7 linked regions of the Bombyx mori genome follow. The protein of the gene in region 4 binds, or shares a complex with, the protein of the main gene of each other region. Links are inferred from orthologs where the notes say so. Each region holds a gene or a part of one and is shown on either strand. Other genes may lie near its edges.

The links.
Region 1: small nuclear ribonucleoprotein protein F (region 4) and U4/U6 small nuclear ribonucleoprotein Prp4 share a complex: the UniProt entries of both Homo sapiens proteins name them as parts of the U4/U6-U5 tri-snRNP complex. The link is inferred for Bombyx mori from reciprocal best matches to the Homo sapiens genes SNRPF and PRPF4.
Region 2: small nuclear ribonucleoprotein protein F (region 4) and splicing factor 3B subunit 5 share a complex: the UniProt entries of both Homo sapiens proteins name them as parts of the minor spliceosome. The link is inferred for Bombyx mori from reciprocal best matches to the Homo sapiens genes SNRPF and SF3B5.
Region 3: small nuclear ribonucleoprotein protein F (region 4) and protein CWC15 homolog share a complex: the UniProt entries of both Homo sapiens proteins name them as parts of the minor spliceosome. The link is inferred for Bombyx mori from reciprocal best matches to the Homo sapiens genes SNRPF and CWC15.
Region 5: small nuclear ribonucleoprotein protein F (region 4) and armadillo repeat-containing protein 7 share a complex: the UniProt entries of both Homo sapiens proteins name them as parts of the minor spliceosome. The link is inferred for Bombyx mori from reciprocal best matches to the Homo sapiens genes SNRPF and ARMC7.
Region 6: small nuclear ribonucleoprotein protein F (region 4) and 116 kDa U5 small nuclear ribonucleoprotein component share a complex: the UniProt entries of both Homo sapiens proteins name them as parts of the minor spliceosome. The link is inferred for Bombyx mori from reciprocal best matches to the Homo sapiens genes SNRPF and EFTUD2.
Region 7: small nuclear ribonucleoprotein protein F (region 4) and U5 small nuclear ribonucleoprotein 200 kDa helicase share a complex: the UniProt entries of both Homo sapiens proteins name them as parts of the U4/U6-U5 tri-snRNP complex. The link is inferred for Bombyx mori from reciprocal best matches to the Homo sapiens genes SNRPF and SNRNP200.

The regions. Positions count from the first base shown.
Region 1 is NC_085130.1:18,534,308-18,536,634, forward strand, and holds part of U4/U6 small nuclear ribonucleoprotein Prp4, read right to left. Parts: intron 1,699-2,327; coding exon 1,557-1,698; coding exon of another isoform or gene 1,548-1,556; exon of another isoform or gene 1,522-1,547; intron 1,469-1,521; exon of another isoform or gene 1,404-1,468; intron 207-1,403; coding exon 137-206; intron 1-136. UniProt on the Homo sapiens protein: Plays a role in pre-mRNA splicing as component of the U4/U6-U5 tri-snRNP complex that is involved in spliceosome assembly, and as component of the precatalytic spliceosome (spliceosome B complex).
Region 2 is NC_085126.1:5,965,730-5,968,297, forward strand, and holds splicing factor 3B subunit 5, read right to left. Parts: upstream 1,109-2,568; 5' UTR 949-1,108; intron 844-948; 5' UTR 838-843; coding exon 580-837; 3' UTR 501-579; downstream 1-500. Other genes in the region: uncharacterized protein LOC101736097, read left to right, coding at 2,548-2,568. UniProt on the Homo sapiens protein: Component of the 17S U2 SnRNP complex of the spliceosome, a large ribonucleoprotein complex that removes introns from transcribed pre-mRNAs.
Region 3 is NC_085110.1:8,228,614-8,232,277, forward strand, and holds the end of protein CWC15 homolog, read right to left. Parts: intron 3,471-3,664; coding exon 3,191-3,470; intron 2,975-3,190; coding exon 2,870-2,974; intron 850-2,869; coding exon 712-849; 3' UTR 501-711; downstream 1-500. UniProt on the Homo sapiens protein: Involved in pre-mRNA splicing as component of the spliceosome. Component of the PRP19-CDC5L complex that forms an integral part of the spliceosome and is required for activating pre-mRNA splicing.
Region 4 is NC_085117.1:15,790,630-15,794,017, reverse strand, and holds small nuclear ribonucleoprotein protein F, read right to left. Parts: upstream 1,894-3,388; 5' UTR 1,816-1,893; intron 1,734-1,815; 5' UTR 1,723-1,733; coding exon 1,548-1,722; intron 890-1,547; coding exon 798-889; 3' UTR 501-797; downstream 1-500. Other genes in the region: RAB6-interacting golgin, read left to right, coding at 3,279-3,357. UniProt on the Homo sapiens protein: Plays a role in pre-mRNA splicing as a core component of the spliceosomal U1, U2, U4 and U5 small nuclear ribonucleoproteins (snRNPs), the building blocks of the spliceosome.
Region 5 is NC_085121.1:11,321,589-11,325,771, reverse strand, and holds the start of armadillo repeat-containing protein 7, read right to left. Parts: upstream 2,801-4,183; 5' UTR 2,648-2,800; coding exon 2,539-2,647; intron 1,996-2,538; coding exon 1,825-1,995; intron 398-1,824; coding exon 147-397; 3' UTR 1-146. UniProt on the Homo sapiens protein: As a component of the minor spliceosome, involved in the splicing of U12-type introns in pre-mRNAs.
Region 6 is NC_085121.1:1,473,641-1,476,602, forward strand, and holds the end of 116 kDa U5 small nuclear ribonucleoprotein component, read right to left. Parts: intron 1,292-2,962; coding exon 1,099-1,291; intron 692-1,098; coding exon 538-691; 3' UTR 501-537; downstream 1-500. UniProt on the Homo sapiens protein: Required for pre-mRNA splicing as component of the spliceosome, including pre-catalytic, catalytic and post-catalytic spliceosomal complexes. Component of the U5 snRNP and the U4/U6-U5 tri-snRNP complex, a building block of the spliceosome.
Region 7 is NC_085130.1:11,233,514-11,237,013, reverse strand, and holds part of U5 small nuclear ribonucleoprotein 200 kDa helicase, read right to left. Parts: intron 3,016-3,500; coding exon 2,876-3,015; intron 726-2,875; coding exon 489-725; intron 147-488; coding exon 1-146. UniProt on the Homo sapiens protein: Catalyzes the ATP-dependent unwinding of U4/U6 RNA duplices, an essential step in the assembly of a catalytically active spliceosome. Plays a role in pre-mRNA splicing as a core component of precatalytic, catalytic and postcatalytic spliceosomal complexes.

The sequences.
Region 1 (2,327 bases), on a different chromosome or scaffold from region 4:
AATAGGGATCCTTACTAAAACTCCAATAATGTAACTCAATGTGTAAAATAATTACACAATTTAAAATCCTTCACCGCGGAAGTCAATCGCGGACATTTGACTGCGGTCAGGGGACCACAGCGAGCGCTATACTCACCGCTGACCAGATGCGCGTGAGCCGGGACCGTGTAGAGACACGAGCGCCTCCGGAGGTCCCAGATCTTGGTCTGCAACAAACACGAGACATCAGCTACGTCCGGCCAACCCGCGGTATCTCTTCATAACGTCACCACACATTAAAAGTGTACAATTTCCATAAATATTCATTTACTGGTGGTAGGACCTCATGTGAGTGCGCACGGGTAGGTACCACCACCCTGCCTATTTCTGCCGTGAAACAGTAATGCGTTTCGGTTTGAAGGGTGGGGCAGCCGTTGTAACTATACTGAGACCTTAGAACTTATCTCAAGGTGTGTGGCGCATTTACGTTGTGGATATCTATGGGCTCCAGTAACCGCTTAACACCAGGTGGGCTGTGAGCTCGTCCACCCATCTAAGCAATAAAAAAAAATGCGAAACCATTTGGTATCACCAGTATATTTTCTCATATATACTCTCAAAAGTACGTAGTTTAGTTTTAGTTTACCTATATTTTGAGTACTATTAACAAAATCAATACATAATTTTATCTTACTTCAAAAGACAGATAATGTAACTGGTAAAAACAAAAAAAATAAACGCTGCAAAGATGATTGATTAATATTAAAAATATCACATGTTGAACCTTTAAAACACTCTCCTGTAAAATTTAGTTAGTTTTGAGATTATACACGGTTTTAATGCGAGAAGACGAATTATTGTCCAATCTTAAAGTAGATTAATGTAGTAAACAACTTCACATCATTACAGATCCTCCCGGTCCATTAACGGTGCTTTTAGGTACCTCAAGCACCGGTCATCGTAAACTAACCCACAGACACAGCCCACTGAGTTTCTCTTACCGGATCTTCTCAGTGGCTCGCGATTCTGATCTGATCAGACCATCTGATGGTAGATTTAGCGAAGCACTGCTCTTGATAGGGCCAGTTTTAGCAACACTCCGGTTTGAGCCCATGAGCTCACCTACTAGTTAAGGTTAAGCTGAAATAACCTCTCAAGGCGTTTGACTCGTGATATTGTCAAGAGTCCTGTTTGTATACCACATTGATCCACTAGGCTTAGATAAAGTATAAATGGGATACGAAGCCTAGCCTCTCAAGGCTATCAGCATAGGTAGGACATATTAACATGATTAAATAGTGCCTTTGAATATTGTGAAAAGTTCTGTTTGTATACCACATTGATCCACTAGGTTTGGATAACGTTAACTTGTCCCGTGATAAGTTCGTCAAGAACTTGTATTGCAGACACCAGATAACGGAAATAAATGTAAGATTTTTATTATACACATACATAATATATTTAATATACATCCATAACCCTGGAAAACCTATTTACCATACCATCTTCCATTGGTAGTATAAAGTATAAATGGGGGGGGACGAAGCCCTAACGACTTGGGACAGTTGTCAAGTCACCTGGTGGTCTCCGGCGGCGGTGGCGAGGCAGTGTCCAGCCGGGGACCAGTCCGTCCCCAGCACGGGACCCAGGTGACCCTCCAGGAACATCACGCAGCGACCCGTGCGGAGGTCCCACACTCGACCGAAAGCGTCCATGCCGCTGTGGAACCACAACCCCCACTTACAAACTAATGAAGTCGTCGTGTCCTAACGGATAAGACGTCCGGTGCGTTCGTGTTGAGCGATGCACCGGTGTTCGAATCCCGCAGGCGGGTACCAATTTTTCTAATGAAATACGTACTCAACAAACGTTCACGATTGACTTCCACGGTGAAGGAATAATATCGTGTAATAATAATCAAACCCGCAATATTATAATTTGCGTAATTACTGGTGGTAGGACCTCTTGTGAGTCCGCGTGGGTGGGTACCACCGCCCTGCCTATTTCTGCCGTGAAGCAGTAATGCGTTTCGGTTTGAAGGGTGGTGCAGCCGTTGTAACTGTACTGGGCCCTTAGAACTTATATCTCAAGGTGGGTGGCGCATTTGCGTTGTAGATGTCTATGGGCTCCAGTAACCACTTAACAACAGGCGGGCTGTGAGCTCGTCCACCCATCTATGCATATTTTTGTTGTCAATGCACTGTCAATTGCACCTATCTATAATTGAGGTGACATCTGCTATGTACTTTTGTCAGTTTGTCAATGTTTTGTATTGATGATCACTTTTGTTGTTGCAACTAAATAAATAAAAACTGTCAATCTGTCAATTGAAGCTACAGTGTACCAAA
Region 2 (2,568 bases), on a different chromosome or scaffold from region 4:
AGTTTATTACTTATCTATACATAAAACGCACCAAAACTTTGTGGAGTTATTCGTGAAACTTTGAAAATGTCGCAAAGAAAAAGAAAACAAATTAATATTGAAGAAAAATCACGTATTTTGTAAATATATTTTTCCAATAATTCCCTATCGATTTGTTTGTACTTGCACGATACACATTAAACATTACCGGTTGTTACGACTATCGGTTTTTACGACTGAATATGAGCAGTCCCTTCGATGTCGTTATAACAGATTTTGACTGTATATATATAAGGCTAAATGGAAATCAAAACTGATTTCTTTGAGATAAAACAATATGAAACAAGTTTGTATATAAAAATAAGATTGTCAAACATTTGACCATTGAACCAATTCTAAACTATAAACTATACCTGTTATTAAAATTTGTAGTTTTTATTGATAATAGTTGAGTTTTTGGTGGTACTATTTGAATAGACTAATTGTGTTTGTTAAAGGTTATAGAAATGAAAACAAACTGCTCGAATTTATGTCATGATAAGGGATTCAAAGTCAAATAATAAGTAAATTAGCTTAATTCTATTTTTAAAATCGAAGCGTTTAATCTTCAGGCTTTTCTGGCGGTGGGCCGCATGGTTGAAGCATTCGTTCCATCAAATTGAATTTTACGCGCGCTTTAGATTCATTTTCTACGATCGCAAAGTAACTCAACAAATCCGGATGACCCATGTAACTGCAGCAAGAGTCGCGATGTTGGTTCATAAGCCATTCATATTTTGTAGTGTCGGCGTGGCCTGTGCCTATATATTTGCTCTGTAGATGTTCAAGTTGACTGTGAATGTTGTATCTTTCACCCATTTTATTCTGTAAATTATTTTAAGGTTATAGTTCGAGTTAGTAATGTCATTAATGTAAAATTAAATGGTTATAAAATAAATAAAACGTTTCTAATAAAATATACACACTTACTTTAAAGGCAAGATGCTTGTTGAAATCGTATAGACTCTAAAGTTTATATTCTAATTCAGCTAATATTGATATCACGTAGCAGCCCAAAACAAAGAGTATTCATAGACAATACATAAATTGCAGTGCAGATTACTGCAGACACGGCGTATCTAAACCATAGATACAATACTTAACGTTGAAATCTAAACACCAAAGGTTGTGCACAGTTTTTTTTATTATTTCTTTCACTGCATCTTTCACAGTAAGTTCTTAGATCTGTTTACATATCATCTGGTTTTGAAATAAGCTTTCATCTTTTAACGAAGCTTGGGAAGAGCCCCGGCAGTGGAATTAGTCTTAGTCTATGCTTCTGACGTTGACGTTCATCAGAGACGATCGCCACTTATTATTAAGTGGGACAGATACTCGTTTGCCGATAATGCTGACCAAAACAGTTGAGTACAGCTGTGTTGTCACATTTTCCTATACTTGTGGACTTTTAGAGATACTAAACGGTTACAATTTTTCATTAATAGCACGTTTCAACAAACAAAAAAACAGTAAGTTAACAAAATTAACTATTAACTACACTTCTACAGCTCACGCAACAAAGTTATTAAAGCAAAGAGGTTAATAAAAGATAAAATAAAAAGTAAAAAAAGGTAAAGGAAGGATAGAAGTCGTCGTGGTCTAACGGATAGGACGTCCAGTGCATTCGTGTTGAGCGATGCACCGGTGTTCGAATCTCAGGAGGGTACCAATTTTTCTAATGAAATACATACTAAACAAATGTTCACGATTGACTTCCACGGTGAAGGAATAACATCGTGTAATAAAAATGAACCCCGCAAAATTATATTTTGCGTAATTACTGGTGGCAGGACCTCTTGTGAGTCCGCGCGGGTGGGGACCACCACCCTGCCTATTTCTGCCGTGAAGCAGTAATGCGTTTCGGTTTGAAGGGTGGGGCAGCCGTTGTAACTAAACTTGAGACCTTAGAACTTACTATATCTCAAGGTGGGTGGCGCATTTACGTTGTGGATGTCTATGGGCTCCAGTAACCACTTAACACCAGGTGGGCTGTGAGCTCGTCCACCCACCAAAGCAATAAAAAAAAACCCGTGAGATATACATAATTACAACCACGCTAGATCAGCTGCATCTATCATGGAATCTTAAGCTCATCATCATCATCATCATCATCATCAACAGCCCACAGTCGTCCACTGCTGGACATAAGCCTCTCCCAATCCACACCACTGAGCCCGGTCTGCGGTTCTCCTCATCCACTTATCTTAAGCTCACAGGTATTTTAATTAAGTGTATTTTCTATGCTCACAGTTACATATCAACTTAGAGTACTTACAAAGTACACTCTAGGGTACGTTGATATCGTCGTATTTCTAAACTCTTTGGTATGTTGTTATGTTGATTAATTGATCAATTTAAAACCAGTTGCCATAGAAAATACACTACCGTGTTTATTCAATATTTTTGATAAACTTAATAACCAGAAGCCAGTCATTACTGAGAGAGTTGTTTTTATCAAGATATACATTTCGTAATTCTGTTCGCCTTTAAATATTCTCTATTCAGAATTATTGTTATTTCTGACAAGTTATGAGCAAATTACCGAAAGAA
Region 3 (3,664 bases), on a different chromosome or scaffold from region 4:
GCTGTGGACCTGCCCACTCAAGGTAGGCCGCCGCCGCCTGCTCCGCACTTACCACTGCCTCCCCTCTCACGCCTCACTCACAACGCCGCAATAATAAAAACATTCAACTTCGCCGGACACGTCAGTCTGGTCAGTCCGAACTCCGAATGTTAATAAGTTAATTTAATAATTATTTATTACTACCATTAACAATGCAGTTATGTACTTTAACGGGTGGCGTATTGATTATCAAATCGGGGCAGTAAGTTTGAATTTTTTGTAAATTAATCTCTTTAATACCTTCCCTAATTTAGTTTGGATACCCCAACTACCAAGATTTTTACCACTGAAACTCAGAAGTTGAGTCTCAAATTTCGAACCCGAAAGCAATGTTCGTTGTTATATGAGTAAATTAGACACATTATGCTAATGAACTGACCTCTATCTGTTGTTGAGGAAACAAACATTACTTTTTATCAGTAACGTGACATTAACTTGAAAATAAACTTTATAAAATACTATTTGTTTTCATATAATTTATTCAAAACAACAAAATGACATTTTTTTCATAATATTTACTAAAATTATATTGGTTTTCGTCAATCTTTTCTTTACGTGTTTGTAATATCCATAGTAGCATTTCCACTTCGTTATCACTATTCCGCTTACAATAAGGTATAGAATCGCTTTTAACAACTTTAAATTTAGAATTACAATATCAATAATGATTTACTATTTCACGTACTTTTCCATAAATTTCTTATGGAACTCTGATCTTAATGAGTCATTTATAAAAGTATTAGGTTTCTTTTCCGGTTCAGAACGAGCGCAATTTTTGAAAACAACGTCATCATCCCATCTTCTTTTTACCTGGAACAACCCAAAAAAAATATAGATATAATATTACGATTGTCCTTTTTTTTTATTTGCATAAATGGGTGTACGAGCTCACAGCCCACCTGGTGTTAAGTTGTTATTGCAGCCCATAGACATCTACGACGTAAATGCGCCACCCACCTTGAGATATAAGTTCTCAGGTCTCAAGTATAGTTACAACGGCTGCCCCGCCCTTCAAACCGGAATGCATTACTGCTTCACGGCAGAAATAGGCTAGGGGATGGTACCTACCCGCGCGTACTCACAAGAGATCCTACCACAAGTCGTTACGCAAATTAAAATTTGCAGGTTTGATTTTTATTACACGATGTTATTCCTTCACCGTGGAAGTCAATCGAGAATATTTATTGAGTACGTATTTCATTAGAAAAATTGGTACCCGCCTGGGATTCGAACACCGGTGCATCGCTCAACATGAATGCACCGAATGAGTTATCCTTTAGGCCACGACGACTTCTTAAATTCTTCTTAATCGACCCTCATAGATGAAGGTTGTGACTCTCATAACTCAGTCAGTCTCTCTCTAATGATATCATGTAGAGGCCTAATGACGAGTTGTGCTGAGTGGTGCCTCTGGGCGTTCCAATACCGGATTCATCCAATGCTTGAGCAGATTATGTTAATGTTCTTAAAATCACTTTCAATTACTTTTGCATTTTTGTATGGTATTTATTAGTGGGTGTACAAAATCACAGTCCCTGTGGTGTCAAAACAGCAACCAGTGTTTATAGAACCGAAAATGTAAAATAATGAATCAACCAAAGTCTAAATGAAATTATTTAATAGTCTTGAATCCTCAATATCTGCCGCTACATATGCATAATGAAAGGAAAAATAATTTTTTTGTGCATTATTAAAGTATTCCCTGTGGAGTATCAATGATATTGATTCAAATACAAGTAAACCGAAAACAATAGCAACAATACGTTTTAATAGTTATTTTTATAGCATAGATAGGTGAACAAACTTATGGCCAACCTGGTATAAAAGGGTTATCTGGTAGTTGTCAGTATACTTCACCAATGAGATATCAAAACAGATACTGATTGAATATTATTTGCACATGTTTCAATACACATCATATTATTATCATATGGCAAGGATATCTAAAATACCAATACACAACAAAAGCTCTGAATAATTATAATCTAAGTGAGACCCAAGTTTATAACCACTTAACACCAAAAAGACAATGCTAGACATACTTGGAAGAATGAAAAATAATATCTTGAAACAGATTTGAAAAGTACCATAGTGTACCAGAACAGAAACATACAACACATACATAAACATACAAACACATAAATATGCCATAAAAAAAGTAAAACACAGATAGTATTGTTACTATGGAATAACAAAATAACAAAAACAAAACACCAGCAAAACAACAAATGCCAATTAAAAGATGCATTTAAATTATTTATCAAGATAATCCTGGTCAATGTGTAATTTAATAATGTAGTATCATGAAACTGACTAGCCAGAATGAAGAACTTGTACTACAACAAATGAATACCTACCCACTGCAGAAACTAAAGGTCATCTACACTTTTTTTATTCCTTTGATGGGTGAATTAAGTTCATGGCCCATAGAAATCGACATCTTAAATGTTGTCACCCACTATGAGACATGAGTTCTAAATATCAGATTTTATACCAAACGAAAACACATTACTACCCCATTCTACTGCCATTCATTAAGCAAATTATAATTTTGGTGGGTTCGATCTTTATTAAACACTATTTGTTCATGATGGAAATCATTTGTCAATTTACGTTAAGTATATATTTCATTACCATTGGTACCTGTCTGCAGGATGAGAGCACCGGCACAGTCACATAGCTTTATACAAATGCACCGGGAGTCTTTATCTTTTAGGGCACAATTACTTCAACATTGATAAATACAACATCAATGACATCTGCAGTTCAGTTCAATCACCAAACAGTTATCAGGAGTTAAAACAAAATTCATTTTAATGTTTTTAATTACCTTCATGTCATTCTTCTGTCCTGCAGCGGAGTAGTTGAGTAAAGGATTACCCGATAATATGTTCTCCATTCTAATTCTTTCCTCTTCTTGTTTCTTTTCAGCTTCCTATAAGGTAAAACAAAATTGATTTGTGCAACAAGGTTTATTTGTTATTTGAATTTTATTTAGTTTGGGTATCAAAATACACTAAAGTACACTAAAGTTAGACAAATTAAAAAAAATATATATTGTAAAATTTAATTTAAACATACTTTGTGTACATCAGTACAAAAATAGTCTTATAGTATAGTATCTAACTCTAGTATCTAAGATATATCTTACTTTTTTAGCTTGTTCAATGGCCCTTTCCTTCTTAATTCTGTTTAATTCTGCTAGCAATGCAGCAGTATCATCATCTGAATCATCAGAGTCAGTGGAATCGCCTTCAAGAGGATCATCAGCATCAAGACTTGCTGCAGGAACTTGATCAACCTTAGTTCTTTTTGCTTGTGGTTCACTTGTACGTTTTGTAGTCGTAGTTTTAACATCTTTTTCTCTATCATCCAACTCCTTACGAAAATCACGAGAGCGTAATTCCTCAGATGTCCCTTGACCTGATTCCCTATTAAAATAGATTTTAATATTTGACTTTTTCTTTACATTTTGGTGCATTACAAACGTGGTATTTATGCTTTGAACGAGTTATACATTGTGGTTTTGAAGGGTAGCGTATTTTCTAAAACAATAATTCAAGTACTCTACCTTGTCTCAAGATGGCTTTTTATGAGGTCCGTTAAGCACTTACCACCACGCGGG
Region 4 (3,388 bases):
TGAGTGATGATTTATGTAGTGGGCTATGGCAACTACTTAATACCAAGTAGGCAGTCAGCTTTTTTCTTCATCCAGAGCAATACAAAGTGTGCAGCAATTCGCAAAATGTAGAAGTGTAACCTGTAGGAGTTTTCTATCTCGTTCTCTCACAGACTAGATACTATAAAATAATATGCATCTCTTTTTAGTCACTTCTAGAGCTTTAACTATATTAAAATAAGGTTGTATTATTTACTTTTTAGTTTCAAATCATAACCAGAATGAGAACCAAAGTTTTTTTAAATGAAAATTGTTTTTGCGAATGAGGTTGTGTTTTTAAACGAATTTGGAATCTAATACCCAAAGGCCAAAAAAGAGCAAGAAGGAATGGGGTAAAATACATTGAAGATCATTAGATTTCAATATATTTCCCTGTTTTCACATGCTCATTTTTTGCAAGGACAATATAAATCGCAAACCTTTTCTTGTAAAGTTAGTGTTGAGAAAATAAAACAAGGTTATGGTGAAAATTTACTTATAATTAATTATACAAGTTATGGAATTCATGCTGAAGAGGTTGTTTCAGACATAGTTATTAAAAAAAAAAAAGTATTAAAGTTGTTTCATTTAAACATTGTATACAACAATAGTTCCAATTAACATTTTTCTCCTCAATCATTAGTATTTCGGGATATATACCTAAGGTAATTTTACTGCTAACAGAGTAATATGAAATTTCTATTTTTTTGCTTAAAATTTCCCTTTTGCCTGTTATTCTTAAGATAATTCCTTATTCTAACTTATGTAATAATTACTAATTATTCTTTCATTTCTCCTTCTTCATCTTCTTCATCAGCTCCTCTTACATACAAGACATTATTGCATCTTATTAAAACTTCACCTAAATTACCTGGAAATAAAACCCAATACTTAAATTAATAGGGTTCTTAATTTAGTGTTTTGTATGTATGGACTAACAGAACTAACTGAACTAGTATTCAAAACAAACGCCGTTAAAGCTTTACAGAACTCTGCTGATATGACTTCATTAAGTTTGATGTAGCATGGACTGAATTACAATAAAAAAGATTCTTAAAAAAAAATATAAAAAAAAATATTTAAATGTTAAGATTTGATTTCTAAATTTTATTTACTAATTTAAATTAATTAAATTCACAAAACTATTCACAACCAAAAAGTTTGGTTTGGAATCTTGTAAGTGTCAAGTTGTCTCTTGTTATGAAATTTATTGATTTTGTGCATTCTTTGTAGCAAGTACTTTTTTTTTCTTTAAAAGGGCAAATGAACCCCATGACATTTAGTGTTAAGTGGCTTCTAGAATTTATAAGTTTATTACAATATGAATATTAAATCTACTCTTCAAAGCAGAATGCTTGAAAGCTTTGAAGTCGAAATGGGTGCAGAATAGTGTACTCATAATAGACCAAACAAACAATGAACGTCTCATTTTTAATTCAATTTTGGTCCAGGTCCACTACCAGTAGATCTTAATCTCTTGCTTTAATATGTTTTCGTGATTACTTAAAGTTGTTCACTTAAATACTAACCTGTACAAGTTCCATCGACAAGTTCTTCAGTATTAGCAAGTTGCAAATTCATGTAGCCATCTGTTGATACTAACAAACCTTTGTATTCATGACCCCATTTTAATTTAACTAGCACGGATTTACCCGTTAGACTATTAAGAAATGGTTTGGGATTTATTGGCATAGCAGCCGCCATTTTTGCAGGTTCTAAAAAGTAAATTGGATGTTAATTCATTTTCAAACCACCTTTATTGTTTTCATTGCTTATTTAAGAAACATCAGTACTTACTTTAATATCGGCTAACAAGAAATACAAAATATAACCTCAAAATGTATCGGCTTCGCTTCGAGTTCGACGCTAATTTCTACTCATAGATATTTTTTTATTTTTTATTTATGAAAGCATTGAATTTGCAACACGGCCATCAGCTACTCATAGATAATACACCACCATAGATAAAACACAGGTAGTTTAAAATTTATTATAATTAGTTCTTTCTAGGACTTTTCGGCGGGAACGCGAGGAGTGGTTTGTTTTATTTTGTCTAATTAGTCTTTCTTCAGGTTTAAATGTGTAATAACGGTGGCTTATTAACTGCTTAACTGTAACTGTGAAAGTGCACAAATGTGGGAAAACGAAACAAAGCCACTGAACGTAAGTTCTCGAGATCTTCCAAAAAGTCCACTGAAAAAGTCTCAGTAAATGATCACCATTTTACTGAGATTATACTTCATCCCATATCATCTCATCTCATTTCATTTCATTTCGTTTTCATTTCACTTCATGCCATGTTTCATATTATTCAACTTCATTTCATTTCTATAATTTTCATATAAAAAAGTTACGTAACATAAAATTAAAATAAGACTTGACCTAAAAGTTTTAGTTAGTCCAGGTCATAAAATCCCTTTAAAAAAATGTAGTAAAAAATTAATAATAGTATGTATTTCATCTTATTATTATTGAAGCCCAGTTGAAAAAAAAACTACAGAAAATGGTAATTATTTTCTTTAATTTATATAAACATAAAGTCCTGAGAAGTCAGGTCCAGTGATTTTGTTATATTTCCACAATCTTTTACACTTTCAAATATGTTTAACTAATAGAGAAGGGCTTGTAGCGACTAAAACGACACACCTAAGCTGAAAGTTCTCAACGTATTTGGAGGAATTCGCTATTGATAAAATGTGAAGAGAAGAAAAAATATGTGAAAAGCTTCCATAAAACTATATATTAGCAATAAAAACATTTAGATAAGTTTGTTTAATTAAAGATGGTATGAACGATCTTTGGCCTAACTAAAAACCATCAAATAATTGAAAGTAGAGTCGGTTTTTTTATAAAACTATTTTGGGAATAGAAAACGAGAACTTCAACATTGTGTGTTGAAGTGCTTATGCTGAGAGTAGAGCTATAACACCAAACCATTTTAAAGACAAAATGTACATATTGTTAAAATAAATGTTAAATGGATTCGAATAATTAAATGGGCGAAACACTATTTCAATGGGTTTTTGGCTTAAAAGACCAGAATTCAATCTAACGTGATTAAAAAAGTTCCAATAACGTCAAATAGTCAATGTCAAAGTAGTGTTGCAGAATAGTAAAAATTTGATGTGAATCAGTGTTGAATCAATGAAAATATAGATTTTTACGTTTACGATCTATCTATGAGTTTTGCAATTTTTTACATTAATGCACCTTATATGAAAAACATAACCCTGACATATCTATGTAAAAACAAATAAAACATGTCACAATTTACAGGTTTTAGTGAAGATGACTTGGAAAGAATTAAATCTGGCGAAACTGCCGATGAGAGTAAAAACAGTACGTATGGAGCTTGAAATATACTTTTTTT
Region 5 (4,183 bases), on a different chromosome or scaffold from region 4:
ATTTTATCACCAGCTTTAAAAGCTGTGTTGCTGAAGGATGTGGTATGAATCTTGCATATTTTTTGATAATTTTTATTGTTCACAATAATATAGGGGAATCTATTCGAGAGCATCTTGTTCATTATGAAGTTCGTTTATGTAACTATTCAGGTGGTCTTACACACATTTTGTAGAAAAACTGTAGCTAAATTGACGATCCTCAAATCCTGCGTAGTTTTCAAATTTGACATCATATTTATAACGTCTTGATCAGTTATTTCAGTTTTTGTTTTCTCATTGTACATATATATCAATGTCGTTATTGTATCAGCTACAGTGTCTGTATCACTTGACTTCAATAATCGAAACAAAGGTTTTAATCCCAAGTGAGTTAAAATATAGTCTGCATTCAGTGGATCTGAAAAGTGATAATTCTTACATAAACATGTGAAATGTGAAATAGCAATATGATTTTATATAGTGTCAAATTTTTAAAGATGATTCTAGCGTTTTTCTAAATTTGGGATTTTACATTGCTTAGATGGGTGGACGAGCTCACAGCCCACCTGAAGTTAAGTGGTTGCCGGAGCTCATAGACATCTACAACGTAAATGCCACCACCCACCTTGTAATGAGTTCTAAGGTCTCAGTATAGTTACAATGGCTGCCTCACCCTTCAAACCGAAACGCATTACTGCTTCACGGCTGAAATAGGCAAGGTGGTAGTACCTACCCGTGCGGACTCACAATAGGTACCAGTAATTACGCAAATTATAATTTTGTGGGTTTCATTTTTATTAAGCGATGTTATTTCTTCACTGTGGAAGTCAATCGTCAACATTTGTTAAGTACGTATTTCATTAGAAAATTTGGTACCCGCCAGATACCCGCCAGATACCCGCCGGATTCGAACACCAATGCATCGCAAGATACGCATGCACCAAACGGAGTATCCTTTAGACCACAACGACTTCAAAATGTTTGATTCAAAATGACTGATAAATCTTTAGTATTACTAATTTCTTTTTTAGCAATAATTTATTTCGGGTCTATTGCTATTCTATTGCTAGTCTATTCCTGCGGGATCTTCCCGGGGATTGGATCCCGTCCTATTGTCAGGACGGGTACCGGCGACGGCGAGCCTGCGGCGCGCATTGTGCGGTACCGTAGGTTTCGTGGAGTCGGAGTAGTGGAGCTCGATGGGGTTTAGTCGGTAGTCGGGTCTATTGCTATTTTATTAATGCATTTGCTATTTTATTCTTTCTTAATGAAAATATTATTGAGAATCAGAATCAAATTTTTTTTACTTTTTAATTACTACTTTCCTTACTCTTCTAATTATTATCTTGAATACTGTCAGTAGTGTGGTGGCAGCATGTGTTGGTACTACTGTCAGATATAACATTAATAAACCATTTCAGTCTAATGGGCTTAAGACTTTCCAATATAATAAAGAGAGTTCCAATTTAATGGTATGTAGGGACAGTTACACAATATTGAGGGGAAAATGGCTATTTGGTATAAGCAGCATTGCACTTAAAACATTTACAAGAAAACGGTGCAAGCTCACTACATATTATTGGGCACTTTCAATTTTAATTTACTTTAAAATGCACTAAATCACATCTTATCAACACTCACAAATATTCAAATAGTTCAAGTATTTAATTAAATTTAAATAGAGCTACTTTGATAATCTTAAATAAATTATTGTACATAATAATATAAAGAATACTTTTATTGAACAGGTTCTTTCTTATAAGAGTTTTCATAAAAAAATTGACAGTTTAATTGAACTTATAATAATTTGAGAAAACTATTCATCTATTGTTATCAACAGCTTACCTAAACACAAATTGCAGACACCCGCAATGGCATACCTTATTAATCTACCAATAGTTTCATTCTTCAGCACATACAAGAATATATCTAGTACTCCAACGTCTCTAATGTATGAGTAGTTCACAGGATCATATGCAAAATTTGCCAAATTGGCTAAAACTTGCAACTTTGCTTCTGTAAGGAAAAATAACATTAACAAATTGCAGTGCCATGGAGAGAGCCGTGGAGAGACAGAGATAGAGAGAGATAGATTACTTTACTACACACCAAAACACAATCATCATTGTGTCACACAATCATCTCTTCTAAACAACCTTTTTTATCTAGAGAAATTGTGAAAAAGATCCAACAGGTATGTTATTAATTATTCAGAAACAGAGCAAACCTTCATGCACATTACTTAATAATGAAGAAAAAAAACTAATGTATGATACAATAAATATAAATATAAAATATAAATATTAAAATCACTATAATCATATCCCATAAGTCACATACACAATTTAATTTTATTAAAACGAAAAATACCATTATCCAAACGCAATAGGGCTAGCTGTACTGTGAGTACTCTTTAGCATTAAGGTCGCCCTTGTTTATGCAATAGTTTTCTAACTATCTAAGATTTTTAAAAGTAAAAACTTTAATGGCAATTGTGAAAGTTCATACGTAAATCGCATTAAAATTAATTAAATAGATATTGCATGTATATTTTATTACCATAGGAACTTGAGTGTAAATATTCGTCGACTAATAATGACAAATATGCCTCGCGATCAGTACCATCTTTTGGGGTACGTTTTTGTAAGTGTGCTCTTGAACTGAACATTAAATTATAGTAACTTAAAAGGCTATAGAAAAAATCCTACTTTGACTGGACCACTTTCATTAAAGTAAATACACATTCCTTATTTTTCCTTTGATTCAATAATTCAATTGACACGCCATGACAGTTTTCTCTGTTGTTTTTGACATTTGACAGGTGGCACAATGACATGCGGAAGGGAACATTTTATCTACCATGACATGGGGTAAATTGGGATCCTGGGGTAAATTGGGACAAACCTGCGGAAGATTCTCAAAGTACCTGTAGCACGGAATCTACCTAATTTTGTTTATGTTAATATTTGTCAATGTATAGAAGAAAAACCAAGTTAACTATAGAAGTACTAAATATGAGTTAAGTTGGTCCCAAAAATTCGTCAAATTAAATTGAAAATAGTGGTTGAAAAGTGCGTTTTAAAACAGCTTAAAGAACTTTTAAAAAAAGTAATATTATCGTTGTTTTTTCAATAAGATCACAGTTTATATAAGTTTTTAATACACCTGGAAATACCACAACAAACGGTAAGTTGCAATATTCTTATTTTAAATACAATATTTCGACAAAATAAAAAATGTATATTTTTTCTTTCCTTTTTGGGGAAAATTGGGACGTTTGTAGGGTAATTTGGAACGAGACTGGAAAAATTAGGGACGAGAAAACACAAAATTGGAACGCCAAAAGACAAAATAGGGATGGCTTGTTAGGGTTGTCACTGATATCTTATAATAGATTTTTTAGCCTATACTATCACTTAATTGCGTGATGTAAAGAAGGTTAATATGTTTATCAGTTAGTTTATGTAAGTATTATAGGTAAAAGAAAAGTATATATATAATTACTTTTTTTTCGCGACATTTACCTTGTAACATCTGCCCGGTCGTATGTTCTTTATAGCAATAAAAAAAAAAAAAAGTTAAAAGAACTCAAACGAATCAAAACTTTTGTTATTTCATAATCTATTCACGCGTCGAATCATGATTTTGTTAACATTCACAACGCACACACAAATAAAAACAGGCCTCAGATTTTAAATGTAACATTAATTAAAAATCCGAGATATCCAATTATGAGTGAGTGAATTAATTGAGTTTAGTTATTTCGCTTAGAAAGAATTTCTTTTATTTTTGTTATTATTGGCAGTAATCAGATAAAGCCGGTTTTTTATCTTATTCACCTGATATCTTACTCTTGCTCAAAGATTATTTTGAAAATGTTGATTAAATAAAATTGTATTATTGCATTTCCAGTCCTTTTGTTTTCTATTTTTTATTCTATTTTATGATTTTGTTTCAGAGTTGTGATTTTTAAGGAAATTAAATAATAATTTTCTAAAATATAACATGCACATACTTTTTTTGATCATTGTATTGTTGATTATCATTCACGTCACATCGCTTCAGAATAGAAACCAGCTTAATTTACACTATGTTGTGTATTGTGCTTAAATTATGGATTGTATTCATCATTTCGGTCCATATAAATAATTATATGGCACCTACCTATATATCGCAGTACTGCGAGTTGACAACCCTTACAAAT
Region 6 (2,962 bases), on a different chromosome or scaffold from region 4:
ACTGCCGATTCTGAACTATGTTTCTACTGTTAGGCACCTACCGATAAATTTGATAAACGTGAACATGACAAAATAGTAAAACAATTTGAATAATGAATACATTTTTTTTTACTAATTTAGATTAGCCGAGAAACTTATGGCTTAACTACCTAACATTAGTATGTTGTTGGATTTATTTTGTGAGTAGTATAATCGCTAGGATAAATCGTTAAAATGCGACAAATATTAACATGTCACCTCTGCCGGCTTTAACGTTTGGCAATTTTATAAAGTACCGCGCACTCCCTCTAGGTTTAATGGATTTAATAAAAAATATATAGAATGAATAGTATAACGCCAAAAGTTTCACATACAACTGCAAATGTTTTTTAGTTTTGATTTATAATAATTAATCTATGTATTACATACTATAATAATATGTTTTCACTACATATATATTATGTTATTGTTCAGTAATTTTATCAAAACTTTGCACGTAAAATGAAAAACAAATACCAAAATAATTGTTTGGTAAATTTTATTAAATCAGAAATATAATTAATGAAGTTGTACGTCTTGTCTTGCCAGCTCCAACAACATAGGATCGTCGAAAAACTTATTGATGGACACGTCCTCACTGAGCCCCTTGCGTCGACGGGTCTTGATCATGAACTCTCTGGCTAAATGCGTCGCTGGCTGTGGTTCCAATGGCCTAAATAAATAAAAAATGAATTAAATATGATTTTATCATTCACTGCTGATACAGATTCGTTTATAATAAATATCATTATCTTCGTCAATACACTGACCCGGCAGACTTCGTAGTGCCTCAATCGATAAATAAAAGACCTAAGCTTTTGTATAAAATAAACTTAAAATAAACAAAACGAATCCGTCCGACGGGGGACACATGAAAAAGAAAACATTTTTTTTATTTATATTTAATTCCGAGCATTTATTATTTATCTACCTTTTAAACCTTCTCTGGGCTTCCACAAATAATTCAAGACCAAAATTAGCCAAATCGGTCCAGCCGTTCTCGAGTTTTAGCGAGACTAACGAACAGGAATTCATTTTTATAAATTAGATAGATAAAACAATCCAAACTAGACAACTCACCTGATAACAATACTCTTGTCGAGCGGGTCGCCGGGCACGATCTGCCAGTGATGGAAGACCTGCAGACAGAAGGCCTGGCCCTGCGTGTGCGTGCGCAGGTCGGTCTCGAAGCCGAACGAGTCTATGGCCGGGACGAACGCTTTGATGGTGTAGAGCGGCGACCCGGGGACCGGAGCGTCCTGGGTCACGTGACCTGCGCGACGAGCCACAGACTCAGTCGGTTTTTTCTACCTAAGCTGATAGTCTTGTGAGACCATATCAGCGTCACCGGGCGAGTGGGTGAGCTCACGGGGCTCAAACCTGACGTTGTTGCTAACACGATCCCTAACAAGAGCTGTGCTTCGTAGAATCAACCACCGGATCGGAAACGCGACCCACTAAGAAGATCCGGCGAGAAACTCAGTGGGCTGTGTCTGTGGGTTAATTTACTCGCCGAGCCCTTCGTCGCAAGCGACGGGTTCGACGAAAACCCCGATGACCGGCTCAGTCGGTGGAATCAACAGCACTATATATTACAACATGTATATAATGTGGGACGGTAGAGTGAAATCTAGTGGACTTTCATACCAAAATTTTTTATTTTCCAAAAAAAAACCCTCCTTACCTCGTCATGTCATTCGATGACTGTAATTTTCATTATTCTTATTTTAAAATAATTCTAATGTGTCAGTGTGAACCTGATCAAAAAAAATACCGATCTTCCTACATATACATAATATGTATGTATATATTTAAAGGAAAAACCGCATTTGCGCTAAGGTCGCCGCACTGTGCGGGCACAATTGCGGATACGTGCGCAGTGAGTAGGAGTGGGTAATATCGGTTTTGCCGCGTATCGAATCGTATCTATATATCGAGGATCAATATCGGATATTGAATCTATATATTTTCTGAATCTATATATTGATGGATGCTGGTAGATTTTCTCGATTCATGATATTTGAGATTTGAAACGATACGCCGATATAATATCGTAGTATTTAAGTCAACGTTATACGGTTGGTTTTCTGATATCAATTTATAATATGATCTTAAAGTAATAAAAAGAACATGAAAATAAAAATATCAAAAAAACTTTCCTTCATGCTTTTACCAGGCTTAGGACTGGCTACATTATTTTCAGTTTTTAGTATTTTGTGTCTTAATTTAAAATTACAAAATATACCAAAAGAGTGTAGATTTCAAAAGTTTAATACAAACACAAGAAATAAACTCAATTATTTGGATTTAACTAAAAATAGAAAAATGTGTACTTTAAAAATCAAACACAAAAAACTTTGAAGTATTTATAAACACTTGTCCAAAAATTCTAGTTCAAGGTCAAAGCGCGTGAAATTAAATTCAACGATGCAAATAGGCTATACTGCATTCAAGTTAGGGTCGAAAGTTGAAACTTCTTTCCTTAATTGTATCCTGCTGATACGCTTAGAATAATCTACAGACATATGGACTTAAATATAAGGTTTACAATTGTATGGATAATGCCTGTTTCTGTTTCATTCATCACATGATATCGCTATCGTGCGCTCACTCACTCTGGCCGATTCGATACGAACCAAACGAATATTGCTGATATTAACGAATCGGTACGATATGCCGATGCGCATCACATCGAGCAATATCGTGTATCGGCTGATATCGAAATATAGATTTCGATTCACGAATCGGTCCGATATGGCGATGCGCATCACATCGAGCAATATCGTGTATCGGCTGATATCGATATATAGATTTCGTGCGGGGCGATATCGGATTCAACGATATTGCTGCGATATATAGATATTGAATCTATATACGATTTATATCACCCACTCCTAGCAGTGAGCAACCTGGTTGTAATCAGAATTATAACAATCTTGTTGCC
Region 7 (3,500 bases), on a different chromosome or scaffold from region 4:
GCGGCGAAGCTCCAGGCCAGCTCGGCGGCGACCACGCACAGCTGCGCGGCGCCGCACTCTACCAGCTGCTGCACCACGCGCCGGTCGCCGGCGGACACGCCCGCGTGCAGGTACGCCACGCCCGCGGACAGCGTCTCCTTCAGCATCTGGACGTGCGAGATCACACTTATAGTATGTTTATGTGCTAGCTGTGTATAGAATATTTTAAAGTATAGGGAGGTCGTTGACCTCGTGTATCAGCTGTTAGCAAAACAACAGAGTGAGAGAGTTTTAACAGAGTGAATAGGTCTCAAAAAGATTTGAAACTATCAAAAATATTTTTGGCAGTAGTCTTGATGGATTACGAGATATTTATCAGTAGCCGTAGGTAGGACATCTTGTGAGTCTGCACTGATAGGTACCACCGCCCTGCCTATTTCTGCCGTGAAGTTGTAACACGTTTCGGTTTGTAAGGTGCGGGGGGCCTGTAGTACAGTAGGTGCAGAGACCTTGTCCTGCACGGCGTCGAGGAAGGGCGCGAGCAGGTCGCGCGAGGCGTGCAGGAAGGCGGCGGGGGCTGCGCGCGCGGCCGCCAGCGCCAGCAGGTCGGCGGCGAGCAGGCGGGCGGCGCGGCGCGAGCTCACGAACACTGCGCAGGGGCGGGTGCCCGCGTGCCGCCGGATCGCGTTGTAGATGGGCTTCGTCATGGCCGTCAGCCGGGTCGGCGCGTGCGATATGTTGAAGCCCTGTAACATTAGTTCTCGTGAGCTTACTTTTGAAGTAATTGACCGAATCGGCGGTGCAGTAATTAGCGCCTCCGACTGTTGCACCGAGGGTCGTGGGTTCGTTTCCCGCATCAGGAAAATATTTAAGTGGCGAAATTGTTCGTTCGCTCTTTGTTTGGGAGTTTATTATCTATACCTTATCTTATAACTTTAAACGAGCAATTCTTGTATATAAATATATGTATATATAAATATATGTATATATATATAATCTAAATCTCGGAAACGGCTCCAACGATTTTCATACAATTTAATATACAAGGGATTTCGGGGGCGATAAATCGATCCAACTACGATTTATTTTCAGAAAATGTTGTTTTATTCGTGTTTTCAATAATCAACTTTATCGATAATTTTGATTTTTTCTTTAAATAACCAGTTCATATTTTTTTATTATACGGTAAGATCGAAAAATATAATTCATATGTCATCATTTTATCAAGATGTAATTGGTATTGAAACATAATTTCTAAAAAAACAAGATTTATAAAAAAAAAATTTGCTCGGTATTTAACTAGTATGTATATATTTATAAACGTTTAAAGGACATATGTAAAGAAAAACCTTTATTTATTTAAAACTTTAGTTTTTAAAAAAGATTTTCTTCGGTGTCATTCAATGTCATTGAGTAAAAACACGAGTTCAGGTTTGTATATTTTATTAATAATGTTTACTGTTTAATTATTAATGTTAACTTTAAAAGAGATTAAGGACTTTAAATATTGTTTTATTATTATATAAAGGAAAAAGCAATTAAGTATTTTATTGCTTATTCATTCTGAATTACTCCATATCATTATAATGTCAGTATATATCAGTCTCCATGTCTTATAGTAAAAAGAATCCTGATTTGGAGACGAATAAATTTATGTGACTTGTTCCCAGTAGGCGTTAATTCATTCTTGATTCTTTTTACCATTAGTTGAGTGAATTAATATCTCACTACATATATTGGACCTCACCCCTAATGCATTTTTTTTCCTACTTAAGCTGATAGCCTTGAGAGGCTATTTCAGCGTAACCTTAACTAGTAGGTGAGCTCACGGGGCTCAAACTGCAGTGATACTAACACTGGCCCTAGCAAGAGCAGTGCTTCGCAGAATCTACCACCGGATCGGAAACGCGACCCACTGAGAAGATCCGACGAGAAACTCAGTGGGTCTGTGGGTTAATTCGGGAGGATTAGGAATTAAGGAGGACGGTGACCGGTGCTTGTGGTACCTAAAAGCACCATTCATGGATCGGGAGGATCCCTAATGACATGTTTAGGACGACGTCGACTGTTTACCATTCGGTCTACAGGATCGGGTATGTAGTTTCCAGCGGCCACGACAAGAGGGTTCTCATGTCGTGCCGCCTTCTCAAAGTGGCACAATGATGCCGACCGTAGATACTTACTGACCGAGTCAAGTTCCAGGTAGCGGTAGGCAGCGGCTTGGCTTTGCCCCTGGCATTGCTGAAGTCCATGGGCGACGGTAACCACTCACCATGAGGTGGGCCGTATGCTCGTCTGCCTACAAAGGCAATAAAAAAAAAAGTTCCAGGTCATCATGGAGATCCCTAACGCTGTGTTCCCTAATGTTTCCTATAATTTCCTATCCTATAATATTTTGAAGTCGTCGTGGCCTAAAGGATAAGACGTCCGGTGCATTCGTATGTAGCGATGCACCGGTGTTCGAATCCCGCATGCGGGTACCAATTTTTCTAATGAAATACGTACTCAACAAATGTTCACGATTGACTTCCACGGTGAAGGAATAACATCGTGTAATAAAAATCGAACCCGCAAAGTTGTAATTTGCGTAATCACTGGTGGTAGGACCTTATGTGAGTCCGCACGGGTAGGTACCACCACCCCGCCTATTTCTGCCATGAAGCAGTAATGCGTTTCGGTTTGAAGGGTGGGGCAGCCGTTGTAACTATACTGAGACCTTAGAACTTATATCTCGAGGTGGGTGGCGCATTTATGTTGTAGATGTCTATGGGCTCCAGTAACCACTTAACACCAGGTGGGCTGTGAGCTCGTCCATCCATCTAAGCAATAAAAAAAAAAAAAATATATATATATATATATATATATATATATATATAATAATTTATTAGTGAATTACCTGGATGTGCAACTCTAGTGGGAGGGATCTGACGCTAGGGTGGAAATTGAAGGTGGCATTCGCGTTGCAGCCGAGCCACTGGGCAACGTCGCGGGCGTCGGCCAGCGGTAGCGACAGGGCCACTATACGGATCGGCTTCCCTGGGAACAGACATGCACATTGTTACGTCGGTTAGAGTAACGCCATCTGTCGTCGAATATCAAAAGAACTAGTAAAATCAGAGCGTTCGAGAATTGCAACGCCATCTATTATCGAATAGCGGAAAAACATAACGAAATGACTCGCCCTATCGGGAACGTTCTCGATAATTGTAGAGTTGTCGCGTCGACTGTAAAAGCGTTGCAGATATGACATGAAGACAGTCAGTAATCGGTTCTACTCGAAGCGAAACAACGAACGGATCATCTGAAGCGAAGTGAGAATTTTAAAGTGTTTAATAGAGTGTTAATTTGTACTTCGGTGCAAGTTTTATTTATCCCGAAGCCCAGCGCGTAACAATATGTTACCGTTTATATATATATATATATGTGTGTGTATAAAAAAAAACCTTTATCATTTAAAATCTTTAAAATTGTTCAGTTTTTAAAAAAATATTTTTCTTGCACCGAATCACTTATAAGTCTGT